2 linked regions of the Rattus norvegicus genome follow. The protein of the gene in region 1 purifies or fractionates together with the protein of each later gene. This does not show direct contact. Links are inferred from orthologs where the notes say so. Each region holds a gene or a part of one and is shown on either strand. Other genes may lie near its edges.

What was found.
Region 2: the proteins of Hip1r (region 1) and Picalm fractionate together in Homo sapiens (co-fractionation; 3 studies listed by BioGRID and IntAct, with this or other methods). This does not show direct contact. The link is inferred for Rattus norvegicus from reciprocal best matches to the Homo sapiens genes HIP1R and PICALM.

What each region holds. Positions count from the first base shown.
Region 1 is NC_086030.1:38,249,653-38,258,738, reverse strand, and holds the end of Hip1r (huntingtin-interacting protein 1-related protein), read left to right. Parts: intron 1-148; coding exon 149-206; intron 207-288; coding exon 289-364; intron 365-488; coding exon 489-629; intron 630-729; coding exon 730-794; intron 795-982; coding exon 983-1,055; intron 1,056-1,144; coding exon 1,145-1,328; intron 1,329-1,414; coding exon 1,415-1,503; intron 1,504-1,573; coding exon 1,574-1,690; intron 1,691-1,768; coding exon 1,769-1,870; intron 1,871-2,123; coding exon 2,124-2,318; intron 2,319-3,103; coding exon 3,104-3,251; intron 3,252-3,370; coding exon 3,371-3,457; intron 3,458-3,783; coding exon of another isoform or gene 3,784-3,804; coding exon 3,805-3,912; intron 3,913-4,095; coding exon 4,096-4,232; intron 4,233-4,475; coding exon 4,476-4,586; intron 4,587-4,711; coding exon 4,712-4,770; intron 4,771-4,988; coding exon 4,989-5,019; intron 5,020-5,100; coding exon 5,101-5,163; intron 5,164-5,378; coding exon 5,379-5,479; intron 5,480-5,591; and 11 more. UniProt on the Homo sapiens protein: Component of clathrin-coated pits and vesicles, that may link the endocytic machinery to the actin cytoskeleton. Binds 3-phosphoinositides (via ENTH domain).
Region 2 is NC_086019.1:153,528,549-153,538,599, reverse strand, and holds part of Picalm (phosphatidylinositol-binding clathrin assembly protein), read right to left. Parts: intron 7,195-10,051; coding exon 7,087-7,194; intron 5,306-7,086; coding exon 5,174-5,305; intron 5,084-5,173; coding exon 5,053-5,083; intron 4,903-5,052; coding exon 4,803-4,902; intron 2,147-4,802; coding exon 2,123-2,146; intron 783-2,122; coding exon 723-782; intron 1-722. UniProt on the Homo sapiens protein: Cytoplasmic adapter protein that plays a critical role in clathrin-mediated endocytosis which is important in processes such as internalization of cell receptors, synaptic transmission or removal of apoptotic cells.

The sequences.
Region 1 (9,086 bases):
TCATCTCCCTTCCCAATTAGGGTGGACTGGCCAGGCCACAGGGACCCCTCCACTCGGCAGTGGGTCTGGAAACTTGAGGGGCAGAGAGGGAAAGCAGGCCTCAGAGCAGCGTGCAGAGGAAGCACTGTTGACTTGTGCTATCCCTCAGGTCTCCCAGCAGACACCCTGCAAGGCCACAGGGATCGGTTCCACGAGCAGTTTCACAGGTACCAACCCTGGGGAGCAGTGCTACAGCACGGCTGGAAAGAGGCCTGATGCCCTCTCTGACCTGTCTCCCTCCACCCGCAGTCTCAGAAACTTCTTCCGCCGAGCCTCGGACATGCTCTACTTCAAGCGACTCATCCAGATCCCCAGACTGCCTGAGGTGCCCGTCCCCGCTGCCCCCACCCCCGCCCCACACAGCAGCCCCTGGTTCCTTGCAGGCTCTGGATGAGTTCTCAAAAGTCTTGTGGGGATTGCTGAGCATCTTCCAAACACTGTCCCTACAGGGACCCCCCAATTTCCTGCGGGCCTCAGCCCTGGCTGAGCACATCAAGCCGGTGGTGGTGATTCCAGAAGAGGCCCCGGAGGAGGAGGAGCCTGAGAACCTAATTGAGATCAGCAGTGGGCCCCCTGCTGGGGAGCCAGTGGTAAGGTCCTCTCTGCTAGTCCCCAAGGCTGGGTAAAATGTAGGGTGCCTCTAGGGCATAGGTGCCCGGGTCACAGGTCCATGTTCTCTGCTATGGTCAGCAGGTGGTGGCTGACCTCTTTGATCAGACCTTTGGACCCCCCAATGGCTCCATGAAGGATGACAGGTGAGTCCCCAGGGGCCAGCTGGGATGGGGAGGCTAGAAAAAGCCTTGTGCCTGGAAAGGCCACAGTAGGAACTTAAGAGAAATGAAACACCCCACTCCTGAGCGGCTACTAGTGACATCTGAGATCTGAGTTGGGCAGTCTGGAACCTTCTGGTTGATGAACTTGAGCCCAGGACCTCTGTCTCCAGGGACCTCCAGATTGAGAACTTGAAGAGAGAGGTGGAGACCCTCCGTGCTGAGCTGGAGAAGATTAAGATGGAGGTGAGGGGTGTGGCCACGGGGGGCCCCAGGCGGCGGTCCCCACGCAGCCAGCGGGGCCGGGGACCCACGCTCCCTTCCCTGCCCTGCAGGCCCAGCGGTACATCTCGCAGCTGAAGGGCCAGGTGAACAGCCTGGAGGCAGAGCTGGAGGAGCAGCGGAAGCAGAAGCAGAAGGCCCTGGTGGACAACGAGCAGCTGCGCCACGAGCTGGCCCAGCTGAAAGCCCTGCAGCTGGAAGGCGCGCGCAACCAGGGCCTGCGAGAGGAGGCGGAGAGTGTGTACCGCGGGTGGCGCCTGGCGAAGGGTGAGGGGCAGAGCCTACCCTGCCTGCCCACTCCACTCAGCCTCGCCTCTCTGCAGGGAAGGCCAGTGCCACTGAGGCACGCTACAGCAAGCTGAAGGAGAAGCACAATGAACTCATTAACACGCATGCCGAGCTGCTCAGGAAGGTGGGTGCCCAGCCTCAGGAAGGGCGGTGTGGGCCGGGACCAGAGTCAGAACCCGTGCCCTGCCTTCTAGAATGCAGACACAGCCAAGCAGCTGACGGTGACACAGCAGAGCCAGGAGGAGGTGGCACGGGTAAAGGAGCAGCTGGCCTTCCAGATGGAGCAAGTGAAGCGGGAGTCTGAGATGAAGGTGTGCTCAGTGCGCGCCCCGCCCCCGCACACGCACCTCCCTGCCCCGCTGCCCTACTGACACGCAGCCCTGTCCTAGATGGAGGAGCAGAGTGACCAGCTGGAGAAGCTCAAGAGGGAGCTGGTGGCCAAGGCAGGAGAGCTGGCCCATGCCCAGGAGGCCCTGAGCCGCACGGAACAGGTGCCTGCTAGCCAGGGGCTCCCCAGTGGTGCTGGGGTCAGGCTGGGACAAGCCAGGTCCCCTGGCCTGTGGGTTGGGCCATACTTATGTGGCCGTGGGTCCTCAAGGAGGCCAGGTGGAGGCCTGACCCTCAGGAAGCTCTCGTGTCTTGGGAGGCAGTGATAATAAGACACCGCCCTGCGTGGTAGGCTGTAACTTAGGGAGTAAGGCCAGGTAGGTTCGTCATGGCTGTTGACATGTTTCACGTTCACAGAGTGGGTCAGAGCTGAGCTCACGGCTAGATACACTGAACGCAGAGAAGGAAGCACTGAGCGGAGCCATTCGGCAGCGTGAGGCAGAGCTGCTGGCTGCCCAGAGCCTGGTGCGGGAGAAGGAAGAGGCTCTTAGCCAAGAGCAGCAGCGCAGCGCCCAGGAGAAGGGCGAGCTACAGGGGCGGCTGGCAGAAAAGGTACGAGGCCTCCACCTTGCCGTCCTCCTTGTGGGGAACTCACCCTTTTGGTATGGGCGAGTCAGCATTCACCCTGCGCGCTCAGGACCTGGCGCCCTTACTGCCGAGACAGACTCGGCTCTCCGAAAGAAGCCCCAGGCTTCCTCCCGACCAGGCCTCCAAGTTCTCATTACTGTCTTCTCACTGTGACCAGTTGTATGGGTTCAAGGCTCCAGGTTTGCCCCAAATTCAGGGTAGTCCTCCTGCCTCAGCCTTCTGAGTGCTGGGTGTGTTCTGTCACCCAGGGCTGTTGATTGCGATTCTGATTTGCATTTTCTAGTCGCCTAATGATACTGAATATCCTTTTACTTTTAAAGTTGTATTTATTGTGTTCGGGGGCGGGGGAATACATATGGGGATCGAAGGTCAACCTGCAATAGTTCTTTCCTTCCACCTGGGTCCCAGGGATTGAACTCAGGTTGTCAGGTTTGGTGGAAGGCACCCTTACCCTCTGAGCCATCTTGGCAGCCCATAGAACATCTTTCTGTGTGCTCAGTGGCCTTGGGATAAGTCTGTCGAGGTCCTGGGCTGTTTCTCACTCTGTTTGCCCTGTCCTGTGTCCCCACCTCCCTACATGAGTCCTCCAAGTCCTAGGAGGTAGGGAGATGGTCTAGAAATCTCCACCCCAGTTGGATCAGGGATCCTTCCACAGGGGGTCAGCGGGTTGGGGGCAGTCACTGTCAACTGTCAGTCCTCGGAGGGAAGCCCTGGGCCTTGGGGGTCTGAAGGTCCCACCTCCCCATCAGGAGTCTCAGGAGCAGGGGCTCCAGCAGAAGCTGCTGGATGAACAGTTTGCAGTGCTGCGAGGTGCAGCCGCCGAGGCGGAGGCCATCCTGCAGGACGCAGTGAGCAAGCTGGATGACCCCCTGCACCTCCGTTGCACCAGCTCCCCAGGTCTGTGCTGCGGGCACCTCCCCCTCTGTGCAGATGGCTGCTCACCTGCCAGTGACATCACCACCCGCCACCCGGGCCCTAGAAGCCCTGGCTGAGGTGCTTGTCCTCTCTGCTTGCAGACTACTTAGTGAGCCGGGCTCAGGCAGCCCTGGACAGCGTGAGTGGCCTGGAGAAGGGCCACACCCAGTACCTGGCTTCCTCTGAGGGTGAGTACGGCTGGGGGTGGTGTGAATCTGCCGTTTCTGTGGGGTCACTGCAGCTAGAGGCACCTGGTGTGGGGTTCCCGAGGAGACAGGCACCGTGCTGCTCCTTAGAGCCTTGTGCCTGTTACCTGGCTGACATTAGTGATCTGCAGAAGTGGAGGACAGGGGGTCTGGAGTCACCCTGACTCTGCTTGGTGGCCGCCTAGCCTTTTCAGCACCCCCCTGTTTTCATATGCTGGGGTGCTGGAGCCTTAGCCCAGACTCACTGAGAAAATGGTACACTCGTCTTGGTGTTCCCCACACAAATACCCCATCGCTCCCACCCGCAGCCTTGGCCTTTGTCCCTGCAGATGCTTCCGCCCTGGTAGCAGCACTGACCCGCTTCTCCCATCTGGCCGCGGACACCATTGTCAACGGTGGCGCCACCTCGCACCTGGCCCCCACTGACCCCGCTGACCGTAAGTAGATCATGGTGACAGGGTGTGGCCTTTTCATCTTGTCTCACACAGTGAGGGTCTTCACAGTGTTCAGGGGAAAGGAGGGCCTTCCTTTGGGCAAGTCCTGGGCCAGGACATGTGGGGACCTTATCCAGGACTCTTAAGCAAAGGTTCCCCTCATAGACCTTCCCTTTACCCCAACAGGCCTGATCGACACGTGCAGGGAGTGTGGAGCCCGGGCTCTGGAGCTCATGGGACAGCTGCAGGACCAGACAAAGCTACCGAGGGCCCAGCCCAGCCTGATGCGGGCCCCTCTGCAGGGCATTCTTCAGTTGGGCCAGGTGAGGTGTGCGGCCAAGGCACTGAGCTGGGCTGAAGGGGTGCTAACTTATCTGTCCTTTCCACGAGGGAGGTAAGCAGGTGCGTGTGCTCACGGGTGTGTGTGCGCGCGCTCACAAGCTGCAGCTTCAGTGAGTAAGGCTGAACCTGCACACACCACCCTTGCCACCCTGGTCGTCTGCCTCCTGCCCATCTTTCCCTGGGCCCTGATGAAGTTGAATCTACATGTCTGACTCTTGTTTCAGGACCTGAAGCCTAAGAGCCTGGACGTCCGGCAAGAGGAGCTAGGGGCCATGGTTGACAAGGAGATGGCAGCCACCTCTGCAGCCATTGAGGACGCTGTGCGGAGGATCGAGGTGATGGCTGAGTGTCAGGACTCTCCCAATTCCTGCGGGAACTGAGGGGGCTAGAGCTGCATTTGAGCAGGGACAGATAGGATGTTCTTGGACTCTGCGGGCTCATTCTCTGTCACTGTGTACAGGACATGATGAACCAGGCCCGCCACGAGAGCTCAGGGGTGAAACTAGAGGTGAACGAGAGGTAAGTACAGCTTCCGTCCCCAAAGCCCCAGCATGAAGCGGCTTCCCTGGACCCATGAGATCCCACCTGCCTGACTGTTGAGCAGTCCAGAAAGGGGCAGGACAAGAAATTGCACACCCCCTGCCCTGCCCTGCCCTGCCCTGGTGTGGCCAAGCCTGCATTATGTCATAAGGCTACACTTCAGAGCTGTCTTCTCTCTCCTCTCTGCCTCTCCCTAGGATCCTCAACTCCTGCACAGATCTGATGAAGGTGAGTGCAGTGGGTGAGTGACTCCGAGCGGGTTTTGTGCCAGGACCACCCTGAAAGTCACACTCATCTTGGTCTTGGCAGGCCATCCGGCTCCTGGTGATGACGTCCACCAGCCTGCAGAAGGAGATTGTGGAGAGCGGCAGGGTAAGCTGTGGTCTGGCAGCCTTCATGGCTGGGTCAGAGAAATAAACTCTGATCCCCTGACTCCTTTGTGCATGACATCCCCCAAACACAGTCTGTTGCCACAGCTAAAAGCCCCCACATCTCAGGGAGGTCTCAGGGAGGTCTCGGGTGTGCCTCTGGACGATCCAAAATGTCCTTGATTGGACCATCCTGTCTTGTTCTCCCACTACCACTAGGGGGCAGCAACACAGCAGGAATTTTATGCCAAGAATTCACGGTGGACTGAAGGCCTCATCTCTGCCTCGAAGGCAGTGGGCTGGGGAGCCACACAGCTGGTGTATGTCAACCCGGGTTTGGGTGGGATGGGCAAGGTGTTAAGGTTGGGTGTGGGGCTTGCCATACTGTTCATGATACAGAAACCCAGACTCTAGATTGGCCTGATCCCTCAGGGAGTCAGCTGACAAGGTTGTGCTTCACATGGGCAAATATGAGGAACTCATCGTCTGCTCACACGAGATTGCAGCCAGCACTGCCCAGCTGGTGGCAGCCTCGAAGGTGAGGCTTTGCTGACCTCTAACCACCCCAGGTTTGACGTGTGCCAGGCCTGGGCTCGGGGCCCTTACCTGCTGCCTACAGCCAACCAACCCATGCCCTCTCTGCTCCCTGCAGGTAAAAGCCAACAAGAACAGTCCCCACCTGAGCCGCCTGCAGGAGTGTTCCCGCACTGTCAACGAGAGGGCTGCCAATGTGGTGGCCTCCACCAAGTCTGGCCAGGAGCAGATCGAGGACAGAGGCGAGCTCTCGGGTATTGAAAGGGGCTTCCCAGAGCTGGTGGGAGGGGTGTCTCAGCTACTCACTTCTCCCCCCCCCCCCCCCCCGACCACAGACACCATGGATTTCTCTGGCCTGTCTCTCATCAAGCTGAAGAAGCAGGAGATGGAGACACAGGTGCGCCCCTCGCCCCTCACACCCACTGCTGCCAGGGTCTGATCTCCGGGGAAGATCTCAGGGCAGCGCTGAGTTGGGTTTGTGGCCCACAGGTGCGAGTCTTGGAGCTGGAGAAGACGCTAGAGGCAGAGCGCGTACGGCTCGGGGAGCTTCGGAAGCAGCACTATGTACTGGCGGGGGGCATGGGGACACCTGGCGAAGAAGAACCCAGCAGACCCAGCCCAGCTCCCCGAAGTGGGGCCACTAAGAAGCCACCTCTTGCCCAGAAACCCAGCATAGCCCCCAGGCCGGACAACCAGGTACCAGGCATTGGTGCTGGGTTAGGGAGGAGTTTGCCAGCAGTGGAGTGGGGGCTACACTCACTCAGTGGTACATATGCTTCTATCTCCTCTACTGAGCCCCTCATCTTTGATCCCTGCAGCTCGACAAGAAGGATGGTGTCTACCCAGCTCAACTTGTGAACTACTAGGCCCCCTAAGGTGTTCAGCAGTTTGGCTGGGGGCTATGCCTGGGCTTCATGTGGCTGTCTGGCAGCGGTCAAGGGGCCTCTGAAAGGCCTCCAACTCCTGCACCTGGAGCCCAAAGCAGTGTCCCTAAGGCCCCAGCCTTCACCTGCCCAAGGGGCCTGGTCTCTGTGGGACAGTTCACGTGGATGTGACTCTATTTATCTCTAGTAGGAACTGCCCAGAGCAGCTGGGACCCAGCAGGCCTGAGCCACAAATCTGCAGCGGACATCTGAGATGGCTTGAACGCTGCGAGTTCTTTCTTTCCTTGTAAGTTTAGTCAGCACACTGGGAAAAGGCCACAAGCCAGGGCCTCCTTGCCTCTGGACTCAAAAGTCTGAGACCACAAGTGAACAACAGAAAGAGGGTCCCTGCTGGCTATCGGGGATAAGGGGATGACCTGTGACCCCTGAGCCAGGGAGAGCAGGTAGGCTGGCTGGGGTCATCATCTGGGGGCCTGGTGCTAGGGCACCCATGCTGGGAGCCCCAGGAGAGCAGGCTTTGTGTGGGTGCCATGGCTGTGGGCAACCCCTGCTCAGGTGCTGTCTCTAGCCTTGAAGACCTGGAAGCCGCCCTCACCCTTGCTGTTTCCATCCTTCTGGCTACTAGTGTGGCAGTCCACTGCCCACCTCGATGGCCGATTCAGCCCTCCTAAAGCTGGGGCCTTCCAGCCAGTTAGAAGCTAGGAAAAAAGCAGATGTCACAGCCCATGTTTCTGGAGGCTCAGGAATTCCTGCTGCAGAGGCCCAGGCTCGGAGGCCCAGGCTCGGAGGCCTGGCCTGGCCTGGCCTGCCCTGCTCCTGACACTTTGAATAAATTTGTGTTTCTAGAGCCCGAGGGGGAGTTGTTGGGGGTGGGGATATCTAGGCCACCAATAAAGCCAGCAGCTGGTCTGGGACAAGTGCCCAGCTTCCTCCAGCTGCCTGCCCTGAGCCCTGGGTGGCTACCAACCATGGGGCAAGGTCCGGGCGTCGGGAGGGAGCCAACTCCTTTGCCCTGGGCCTAGTATTCCTGTTGAGTCCTGTTGGCAATAAACCCTGACTGTTGTTACCAGTGCCCTAGTGAGGGCCTCCGCCAGGCTTGTCATTTCTCCAGAGGTGCACACACGGGTCTGGCCCTGTGTAACTGTCTGCAGTTGACACTGGGACCTGAGGACTGCTTGCTAGAGCAGCTGGCAGCTGGCACCAGTCTTTCCATAGTTTGCTATAGACCATCCTTACTCAAGGCTTCCCTAATCGAGCCCTCGCTATTCCAGCCTGGAACCCCTGTGATCTCCCTAGGGTCTCACCGGGAGTTAACACCAGTCGCCACACCTGAGAGCATGTGTTACAGTTAAGTCCAGACTTGTAGTGTCTGAGCTGGTGGGTGAGGTAGGACCTTGACCTGCATGTCACGCACTCCGTGTTCTAGAGAGCACTGCTCAACTCCTCATCCCTACTCGGCATTTGTATGACACGAGATGGTGTGTGCTCTCGGGAGAGTCAAGGCCCACTGTCAAGCCTGCCTTCTCCAGATAGAGCCAGCTCACCAGGGAGGCTGGGCAAATGCTTTGCAGATTGATCTCCAGTCAGCTGCCGGGTCTGAATCCTGTTTTACAGAACTTCAGAGCACTTCTTAGTGTTTATATTTACAAACCTGGCCCACCCTAGGCAGTGATCCAAGGTCTCATGTGACCTAGCATCCTGAGGACTTAAACCTAGAACTGAGACTAGTCACTTCAAGTATCCCACAGCAAGTCAGTCCTACCCCATCCTTCACCTCGCTTCCCTGGTTCCACTCAGAAGTAAAAAGGGCCCAAGTGGGAGAAAATGATTGGGTAGGTCTGCGTTCATAACGACTCCTAATTCAGCCATTCAGCCGGGAAGTCCCAGGGGCTGGTCCTGACCAGAGTCCATTTCTTAATAAAGCTTGCTTTAAACCACCAAGCAAGTCCTCCCAGGAGGGAGGGGCTGTAAGCTAGCAACTGCAGTGAAAGACGATCAGATCCTTTCCAAGGTGGTTTCCCAGGACAAGCCTCCCTCTTCCTCATAGCATCTTCCCTATCAGAGGCCGGCCAGCTTGCACAGGACCAGTCTTGCATCAAGGCCCTTGTGCAGCTCAGCAACGATCGGGAGAGCACAGGTCACAGGGACAGCAGGCACAGTTACCGGTGATCATGACATTCCCAGGTAAAGCAGTGGCACGATCAGAGAAGAGAAATGCAACAAACTGAAATTAATAATTCTCAATTTATTAAGAGGTCTACACCTTTACAGCCACGGTGCCAGCTCTGGCCCGGCAAGGTCAGCCTGGCAGCCCCTTTCCTACATCCACCTGGAGCTCCCATGTGGCTGCAGCCCAGGACTGGGCAGTGGGCGTTCCTGGTGGCAGCTGGTGGCAGAGGTATTGAGGTGGCACATACAGCTTTGTCTCTACAGAATAGTTCCAGTAGGGTACAGAGTCCAAATCCGTGATGAGGAATATAGGATGACTTGGGGACAAAGGCTGATGGTC
Region 2 (10,051 bases), on another chromosome or scaffold:
ATCAAAAAGGCGGAAAAAAAAAAGAGGAAGAGGAAAGGGAGGAGGTAATGGTAAAGGAGGAAGGTTTCCCAAGTATCCAGGTCCTCAGGGTCTATGTACAGAGAAAACTATAGGCTCCACATCTAAAAGTAACATATTTCAAAGCAACCCAATTGCTTTTGAGTATCAAATCAAGTTTTATGTCACTATGCAAATGATCATAAATGATGGCTGATGTGTGTGTGTGTGTGTGTGTGTGTGTGTGTGTGTGTGTGTGTACACATATGTACATGTTCCTGTATGTATAGGTGTAAATATACATGTGGAGGACAGAGTGTGGGAATGATGAATGGTTCAAAGACTGGTTTTGTACTCCAACAATCGTTGTCAGTGGAAAATCATTCTGGCCTATAACACATTAAATTTACCCCTAAATAACTCAATTATACAATTCTATAGTATTAAGGTGGTATTACTTGTAACAAGATAGAGGCTAACATTAACATTTAAGTTATTTTGTAATGCAAACCCACATACACACAAAGTTATGAGTTGAAAAAAAATTACTAACGCTGGGGCATACTAATCAATATCTATTTTACAAGAAATATTGGAAAAGATACTTATGGAAGCAATGCTTAGGTTCTTAGGCACTACTTTTTTTTTTAATCTAAGGTTGTAATAAATCATGTTAAGAATAAATTACCCTACTTTCCAAAAACTATATTTAGAAATATACTTACAATTCCATATCCTATCATGCCCGTTGGTGTAGTAGCAGGATAGGCCATTACAGGGGGTGCCTGATATGGCAAAAGAAAAAGTAAAACAGGAAATGTTAATTCCTGCATCTCATGCATTTAAAGGATTGTCAGATTCCTATTTAAAACAAATTGCTAAGACAGCTATGATTAAGTGACATTAATGATTACTGGAAACTGTGAATTAATACTCAGTGAGAAAAATTCAAAATTAGCAGAAAAGCAAAATTGTTAAAAGAAAAAAAAAAAAACCACTTAAGCTTAGACTCGACCTAGTCTACGAACACAACATACTTTACAGCTTATAGCTTTCAAAGACTCTGACAGAGTACTTGTCCTATCCACAGCTATACCAAAATAAGAAAACAATTAGTCTTCAGGTATTTAAAAATATCCAAAAGTTCCAAACTCTAAAGCCCATCATTTTCATAAAAAATGTTTATCAAGAAAAACATAATATGGACTGTTTCTTAATGTGTTTCTTTAGTACTAGAAGGAAAAAACCCTAATGATCCCATATCAATTATGTTAAAAAAAAAAAAAAACACAGGGAGACCTTGAGTTACTACTCCTATGATGACAGCTTTCACATAGGTAGCTGTATTTTAACTTTTTAATTTGTTCTAAAACTATCAAATACTTAAGAGGAACAACTGTAAGTGATATTTTAGTGAGGATTCCTTGTCCTACTTCTTTTATTGATGACTTGTAAACATACTAGAAACATACTATTTTAGATATGGCTGCTGTCTTAACAATATTCCCTACATCTCTCTCATAAAAAGCTAAAATTGAATACAGGTGAAAGACCAAGAACACAGCTAAAATGTTTGAAAACATGAAATTATGCAGCAGTTTGAACATATGCATGAAGTTAACTAAAGCGTAACTATAAAAATAACACTGAAGAGTGGAGTTTAGTATTTAGGTGAGCATGTAGGGAGTATTGGTCTCTCCCTACTGCAAAACCAAGATCTACAAGAGCAGTAAGACAAACTGCCAAGTACAGCAGAAGCCTGGAAGGTTACATGCAATCGTTATTTTAAACATTACCACAGTCAACATTTCTCTTCATTCAAAAGTCATCAAGTGCATGGTGGCAGCACAGATACACACAGACACCCAGCCATCTGGCAGCAAATGGCGGAATATTAAAGCAAGAAAGAAAAATTGGTATTTCCCATGCCACCATCAGAATCAATTCTGCAACACACCCATGAAGATCAGTAGATGCTAGGAATAATTTGTGGCACACTGAAAATCTGATGTGAAAACAAGGAATAGCCGGAAGGTTATGAGATTCTGCTGCAGCGGTGGTTAATAGCATGCCAATTTATTGCAAAAAAAAAAAGAAAAAAAGAGGCTAGTTTTTGGTCACTTACGTATTGTGGAAAATGCATGCCATTCTGTTTTTCCCAGGGAGAACAATTACATAATGCAATAACACTGGATTAGAGCAAGTACTTACACAACAAAATACACAGAGAGCATTTTAGTTTACATGTACATTCACTACCTAAAATTCTGGGTATTTTTATATCTAATAACATTTGTTACCAAAACACTATCAAGGTTGAAAAGGGTTGAACTTAGCTATCTTCCTTTATATACACAATCCTTTACTATCTACAAATGTATTTAAAACAAAGTAGTGACATCAGTTAAGGAAAATTCAAGGGCATTCTCAAAATAATGTGACACCACATGTCTACCACCAGGGCAGGACCATCAATGAAAAGAGTTTGTGGCATAACAGATATTTTAATAAAATAAATGTATTTATTTACAATTTTAAAAATTAAAAACCTTGACAGTGTTTAAGAATTAATCAAAAGGTTAGAAATGTAAAGAAACACCATAAGCAGCAGTTTATTCTCAGTGAGTCACATCACAGGCCCCACATGTTAGCCCTCAAAAAATAAACTATCAACCATACACAAATACCTTAAGATATCTTAAGAGATGACTCACACTAACGTATACAATACACTGTTATTTTGACAATTTACATACAATGCTAGATGGTTAGGTGTTTATTACATTCTAGTAGTCAATTTTAAGGTAAATACTACCTAAAGCTTTCGGATGGATACTGACTTAACATTAAATAAGCAAATACCCACTGTGACTTCATATTAGTTGTAGTACTTACAGCACTGCACAGACATTATTAATGAATAATCCTATCTGCAGCCAGAAAGCCCACTAACCTAACTGTGGCCAGCAGTTTTAGTCACTGAGGAATGCCATAATGGAAAAACACTAGATTCAGAATCAGGTTTCAACTTAAATCAGTTTTTCAACCTCTATTCACATGGGGATTTAAAAAAAGCAGCACAGATAATATTGTACTTCAAAGTGATGCATGCATATATATATATATACATGCATGCTCCAACTCTCCTGAGAGAACACTATATTCTTACACTTACTTTAAGTCATGTGCATATGCTGTGTTTGTATGTAAAAACCTAAACTATGCAGCCAGACATGGTGTTAGAAACCTGTGATTCCAGTATTTGGGAGGCCAAGGGAGAAGGATGGTACATTTGAAGCTGATTTGGACCACTTAGTAAATTCAGAGTCAGTTTGGGCTCTATAACAAAACTTTTGCACAGGCTCACACCTGCCTCCTTAAAACAAAACAAAACAAAACCAACAAAATTAAACTTGAGTCTTTTATTTTATAAAGTCTAAAGCTATTAACTCTTTTAAAAGTAGTCAAGGGCTGGAGAGATGGCTCAGCAGTTAAAAGCACTGACTGCTCTTCTAGACACCCTAAGTTCAATTCCCAGCAACCACATGGTGGCTCACAACCATCTGTAATAGGATACAATGCCCCCTTCTGGTGTGTCTGAAGACAGCTGTAGTGTACTCACTACTTAAAATAAATAAATAAATCTTTAAAAACCCCAAAACTTTTGTTAGTACACAGATTTAGCCTCAGCCCACAATTTTAGCATATAAGCAACCCAAAGTAAAGAGAGCAATATCCTACAAGGGACTTTATTAAACACAATGGAGCTTTCTAACAACAACTGGGCGGGGGGGGGGGGGGGGGGGAGTTAGACTATACAGCACCTAAGTGATCAAAACCCTGCTATCATCCCGCTGAAAGAAAGGGGTATGTATTTCCCTGACTAAGGGAGAAGAAACTTGGTAGACGAAGATAAAGCAGGCCAAAGATGGAAAAGTGGTCATAAGCTATTCTGGGTTCACAATGCCTTACAGTAGTTAAAACATCAATAGAACTTCTTTAGTTCTAGCTGCTACTTAACTAACAAACACTGTTAATATCTGTTTGGTATTAAGTGAACTTTATAATCTCCAAGTTCAACATTCACAGTACTTTCATGAACATGTGCAGAGGTATATAAATTGTTCATTCCTCAGTAAGATGTAATAAATTAGAGGTTCTGCCTCCAAATTTTGGAATTACAGGCCATGCACTAGTATGTCTGGCTTAGAATGCAGCTTTTTAGGATGTGAAATTAAAATGTGAAATATATGAATGTTTCCCCTAGCAACGGCTCACTAATTCAGTTATCAGGGGGACCTCAATCAAATATTGAGTGGCCACAAATAATTGGAATCAACTTCACAAACTATATAATACTAAGAAAACCTAAGAAAATAAATTGTTTACTCATCATCAGGTCTAAAGGATATAAGGATTTTAGGTTACAAAAAAGAAATAAATTTGAGAGCAACAAGACAGTATGATTAAGAGCTCCCTATCTGTTGCTTCTAGGTGACACACTAAGTATGTATTCCATTACTCAAGAACTCTGCAACACTGCTGCACTTCTTAGTAACTGTGTTTGTACCAAGTGGGAGAAAAATAATAGCTCTTATCACAGTCACACAATATGCACTAGAATGATGTCTAGTATGGAATCATTTTAAATACAGGTTAGGGGTTAAAATGTGCCTGACAAAGACAGCCAATCAGCTTTAAAGAAACAGTGAAGTACTTAATAAAACAGTAATAATGTTTCTACTTATGTCTATGTTACATTTTTGTTATAGTTCAGGTAGTAATATGTAACTGTTCCAGCTCACCATTGTTGCAGCACTCCAGGCAGTTGTTGGTGCAACCTTTGGTTGCCAGTTAGATCCTCCAGTTAACTTCTTTTCACCTGGTTGACTCCAACTTACATCACTTTAAATGAACACAAACACACAATGTTTCTGTACAATATGAGCATACTGAGCATTTACAGTACCAAGCTGACATCGCTAAATGTACGTCTGAAGTGATGGTAACATCAGGTTCTATCTAATAGTTAAATAAGACAAATAAGACACTTACTTCTTAGTGGTTCCATTTCCAATGCCAAGATCTAAGAAAAGAGAAAAGTATTTAAAAACTAGAATCATATTAATAAACAACTTACGCTTAAGGATGACTGAAGAAGCAAAGGACTACTTACTGCCCACAAGGTTGGCTAAAGATGAATCCAAGTCATCAGACACTAATTTGTTAGGCGCAAGTTTGGCAACAGGAAGACTCTGGTTCTGAGAGGCCACTGTTGGTTTGAGAAGTCCACCTAGTTCATCAAAGCCTTAAAGTTACAAACAGATGAAATGGGATGCGTAAGGAACTTCATGGGCTACAGCTTTCTAAGGAGTTCTCTCCCTTTTCTCCTTGTTTACTCACTGGAAGTTTTCCCAGAACACGGGAAATGCCCTCACGTGGAAAGAAGAAAAATCTGCCATCTTCAAGTGAACGTAACAGAAATAGTATGCCTAAGATCTAATGACAGAATCATATCCAGGTTAAAGGGGGCGATAACAAAACACTATCAAAGGGGATTGTAAATCTCTCCCTATTCCAGCACAATTTTCCTAAACACTCAATCCTCAAGTCCCTTTTTATGTTGAGAAAGAATATTTTATAATGTCTTACATTGGAGCTGAAGAAATGGCTGAGAGATTCTCTGTAGGCACATCAGGTGGGACCACTGTAACCTGAGCCCAGGGTGCCCAATGTCTCTAGCCTCTGCAAGCACTTGCACTCATGTGCAGGAACCTGCCCACCTCTGTACACACAATTTTAAAATATTAAATCTTTTAACTTAAAAAAATAAGAAAAAAAAAAAAAGGTTGACAGGTCTTCACTGCATAGCTCTAACTGGGCCAGAACATCTATGTAGACCAGGCTGACATCGAATTCAGAGGTCTACCAATCTTTGCCTTCCTAGTGGTGGAATTAAAGGCATACCAACATGCTCAGCCACAATAAACTGTTTTTTAAAAAAACATGTATGTGTATGTGTCAAAGGAAAACCTGAAGGAGTTTATTCTCTCCTCCAATGTGAATCCTGGAGACTGAACTAAGGTTATGAGGCTTTGCAGTTAAGCATCCTTACCACTGAGCCATCTCACATGCCCAAGAGGGCATACATTATAGAGAGCTTCTCACCCTGCTCCTACGTCAGGGACTGGAGAGATGAGTCCCTTGGTTCCCTTTACCACATGGTGGCTCACAACTGCCTACTATAACTCTAGTTCTAGGGAATCCAATGCCCTCTTCTGGCCTCCAAATGCGCCTATGTGCACATGCAAATGATCTTTCAAATATAAAACTATAAACCTATTAGTATACACTAAATAAAGTCTTTGTCCATGCAAACAAGCTTGCTTCTTACTTTATGGATAACTAATTATATATTATGTAACTAAAAACACCTCAATATGTTTTAAAGTTAAAATTTAATTGTTAGTCAAAGTCAGTGGTCATTTCCTTTTAGGAGTAAAATTAGAACATTAAAGTTCATATGTACTTTATAAACTTCAAGCTAACAAGAAACAAAGTACAATCCTCATTCTAGAGTTTTATAGTTTTTAAAATACAAATTAGTAGGTGTACCTTAATAATAATCACTATTAAAATAATTTCCAAAAAAGCCTTTAACCTTTTAACATACTCTACTTACTTATGTAGAACCTATCTAAACACGTCAGGGTACTACTCACTATGTCCTCAGTTTAAAAAATAACCTCACACACTGTAATACTGAATGGTCAGTATTCACTTCAGCACAAAAAAAATTATGACTGAAAAGCTATATAGCACTTTCCAAATAGTCACTAACAATTTAGCACTTTACCAAGAAGTTGTTCTCTTATTGTGCAATGGAACAAAGAAAACTTCTCTAAACTCTAAAATGCTACCAAGAAAAAGGTAAAATTAATACTCTAAGTTCCCATCAAGTGGTTTGGGGGAAGAAGATCAATTTACTCTAACTTATAAACACTAAAAGCAGCATCACGTTTTCTATAGAGGATCTACATTAAAATGCTATCATATTTTAAATAAAAACAACAAAAATTCGTTTCTTACCACCAGAATCTACAGCAACATTCGTAGACTTATTTCCAAACACAGATTCAAAGTCAACATTAAGGCCAGCTGAAGGATGTGGCTGTGTAACCGGAGAAGGACTGAATCCTAAGAAAAAGCAAAATGCAAAAATCCTCAATTCTCTACATACTACATCAATAGTTAAATATAAATGTGAAATATATGAATTACCTTTAAATTCACTTAATTCACTTATGAATTACCTTTAAATTAATTTAAATCACTATAAATTACATTTAATAATGGTAATAGAACTGGGAAAGTAATAAATTCCTTAACAAAAAAAGCTAGTTTTTAAAACAAAAGTTTTATCCATTAGATATCACATTCCTGTTTTTTAAAGACATAGTATCACATTGTGGTCCAAATGATCCTCTTGTCTCAGCACCCAAATGCTGAGATTATAGGTATGAACCATCAACACCAGCTACATTTCCATTAAAATCTCCCACTAAGAAAACGCAGAATAAACAACATATATTGAACCATGAGTTTACTTCATCATAGAAATGAAACTTTTTCCTGTATTTTATATTAATTTTGCATCTTATAATTTCTTAAAACATGAAGTCATTTAAAACACCATGCTATCTCTCTTCCTACAACCTTCTGTAGTCTGTATCTCTTACCTACTTTCGCTTTCCCTACTTCACCCAAATGGTCACAATTAAAAGAAAACGGTTTTCCTGTTACATTTATTTGTGTGTGTCTGTGTATATGCTTGTGGGCATGCATGTGCTACAGTCAGAAGACAACTCTGAGTGTTAGTTCTTTTTTTCCACCATGCAAGTTTGGGATACAAATTCAGGTCTCACTGCTTGGCAGAAGCCACCTTTAACCCACTGAGCCGTATCACTGCCCCCAAAATTATATGGTTTAAGATAATCTGAGAACTGCCAGGATTCTAAAAGTTGCAATCTCACAAATGTTTCTGCCTGTTTTTAAAACATATTAAAAAAAAATTCTTCTTTCAACTCCCATTTACTCTCTCAATTCACTTACCATTTTTAACAATAGGAATGACGGGTATGGGACCAAGTATGTTAATTAACCTAAAGCTAGCCTGAAACACAGCCCCATACAACAAAACAACCTCACTTTCTAATTTTATCCCGGACCTAATAGTGCTATCATAACAAGTACCAAGATTGAGTCTTGGAGGCCTGCTAATGCCGAGTAAACATAAAAGCTTTAATTCTCAGGTTATATTTTCCTAAAGTTGAGTATGTAAAATTATAGAAGCTAAAAATAATTAAAAACCATCTAAAAAGGTTACCTATTGCATGACTTGAGGAGCTTTGAATCACTAAAAATATTTAGGTAAATAGTCTGCAAAGGATCCCAAAAAGAGATTCTTATATGAGGCTGTAGTGACTTTCTTCTAAAATCTCTTGCTTCCTAGGTTCTATCAAGTCAGAATGAAAAAAACATAAATAAAAGCACCTGATTTTAGAAGGTTAGCATTTATATCAACAAGGGAACTTCTCAAGTTCTACACAGATTCTCTTTCTCCCAGAGAGGAGACCCATCTTCAAAACCTCACTTAATTTCCCAAGGATATGAAGAACACTGCTGGCTTAAGCAATTTTAAGAGTTTTTGTTTCTTACTTACTCTTTCTCTGTGTGTGTGTGTGTGTGTGTGTGTGCGCGCGCGCGCACACGTGCACATACATAAGCAGGATCCTGTGGAGTAAAAGGCATCAGATCTCCTGGAACTAAAGTCACAGACACCTGTGAGCTGCCATGTGATCTGAGAACTGACTGGATCCCCTGAGAAAGCAGCCAGTGCCCAGCCCCTCAGCTATCTCTCCAGCCCTCCAATGGCTTTTTGATACCCTTCCTTACAAAGTGTTGTACATATTAGTGATCCCAGTTTAAACTAGTATCTGCGGTTATAATATGAATATTTAAGATCCATAGGTTTTTAAAGCCTTGTTTAAACCCTTAAATTACTTTTACTTTAAAAACACTGGTCTCAGGATGTGAAACAAATACATAGTATAAAATCATTTAGTATTTACATCTTTTGACCAGTCTTTCAAAAGGATCTCAGAATTCTAGACTCTTGGATTTATTAACATTATAAGTGTTCAACACTTTAACATTCTATGGGCTTAATAATAGTTCTTATCAGAGCTTCTTTTTTAAAAAATATTTCTTTATTTCTTTCTTTCTTTATTTATTTACTTATTATGAGTACACTATAGCTGTCTGTCTTCAGACACACCAGAAGAGGGCACCAGATCTCATTACAGATGACTGTGAGCTACCATGTGGTTGCTGGGATTTGAACTCAAGACCTCTAGAAGAGCAGTCAATGCTCTCACCCAGAGCCATCTTTCCAGCCCTTCCCATAGCTTCTTAAGTGCAAAACATTATAGTGCTTACACATGTGCTCATGTTACCACCACATTGTAAGATGTATGCTACTTCAAGGACTTTTGGATTAATCTTGGCTAAAGGAACACTACCCTATTGGCCATATACGTAACAATAATTTATATCTAGTACATTATAGCTAATGCTCAATTTCTTTTATAATGTCCCTTTATAGCAATCTTAAAACAACTTCATTATTTCCTATTATAGGAGAACCATCTTCTCAAGTCTTTAAGGTGATTAATTGAATAACTAAAAAATAATTAGCTATAAGTACAAAAAGAAAGGTTAAAAAGGAAAAAAAAAAAAACAACACCAAAACATGTACCTCAAGTCTAAAAAAAAAAGATCCTACATAGACAAAAATGTAATTTCAAATAATTTGTAATAATGTCTGGGGAAACATATTTCTAAGATAGTCATCTTTTCTGTATGTACATGTGCATGTACACATTGATATAGGTAGATAAATGTATAATAAATGTACATATAAGTTATAATTATATTAATTATAATAACTGTAATAAAAGTAAAGATATGATTAACATAACATTCTTCTGTCACT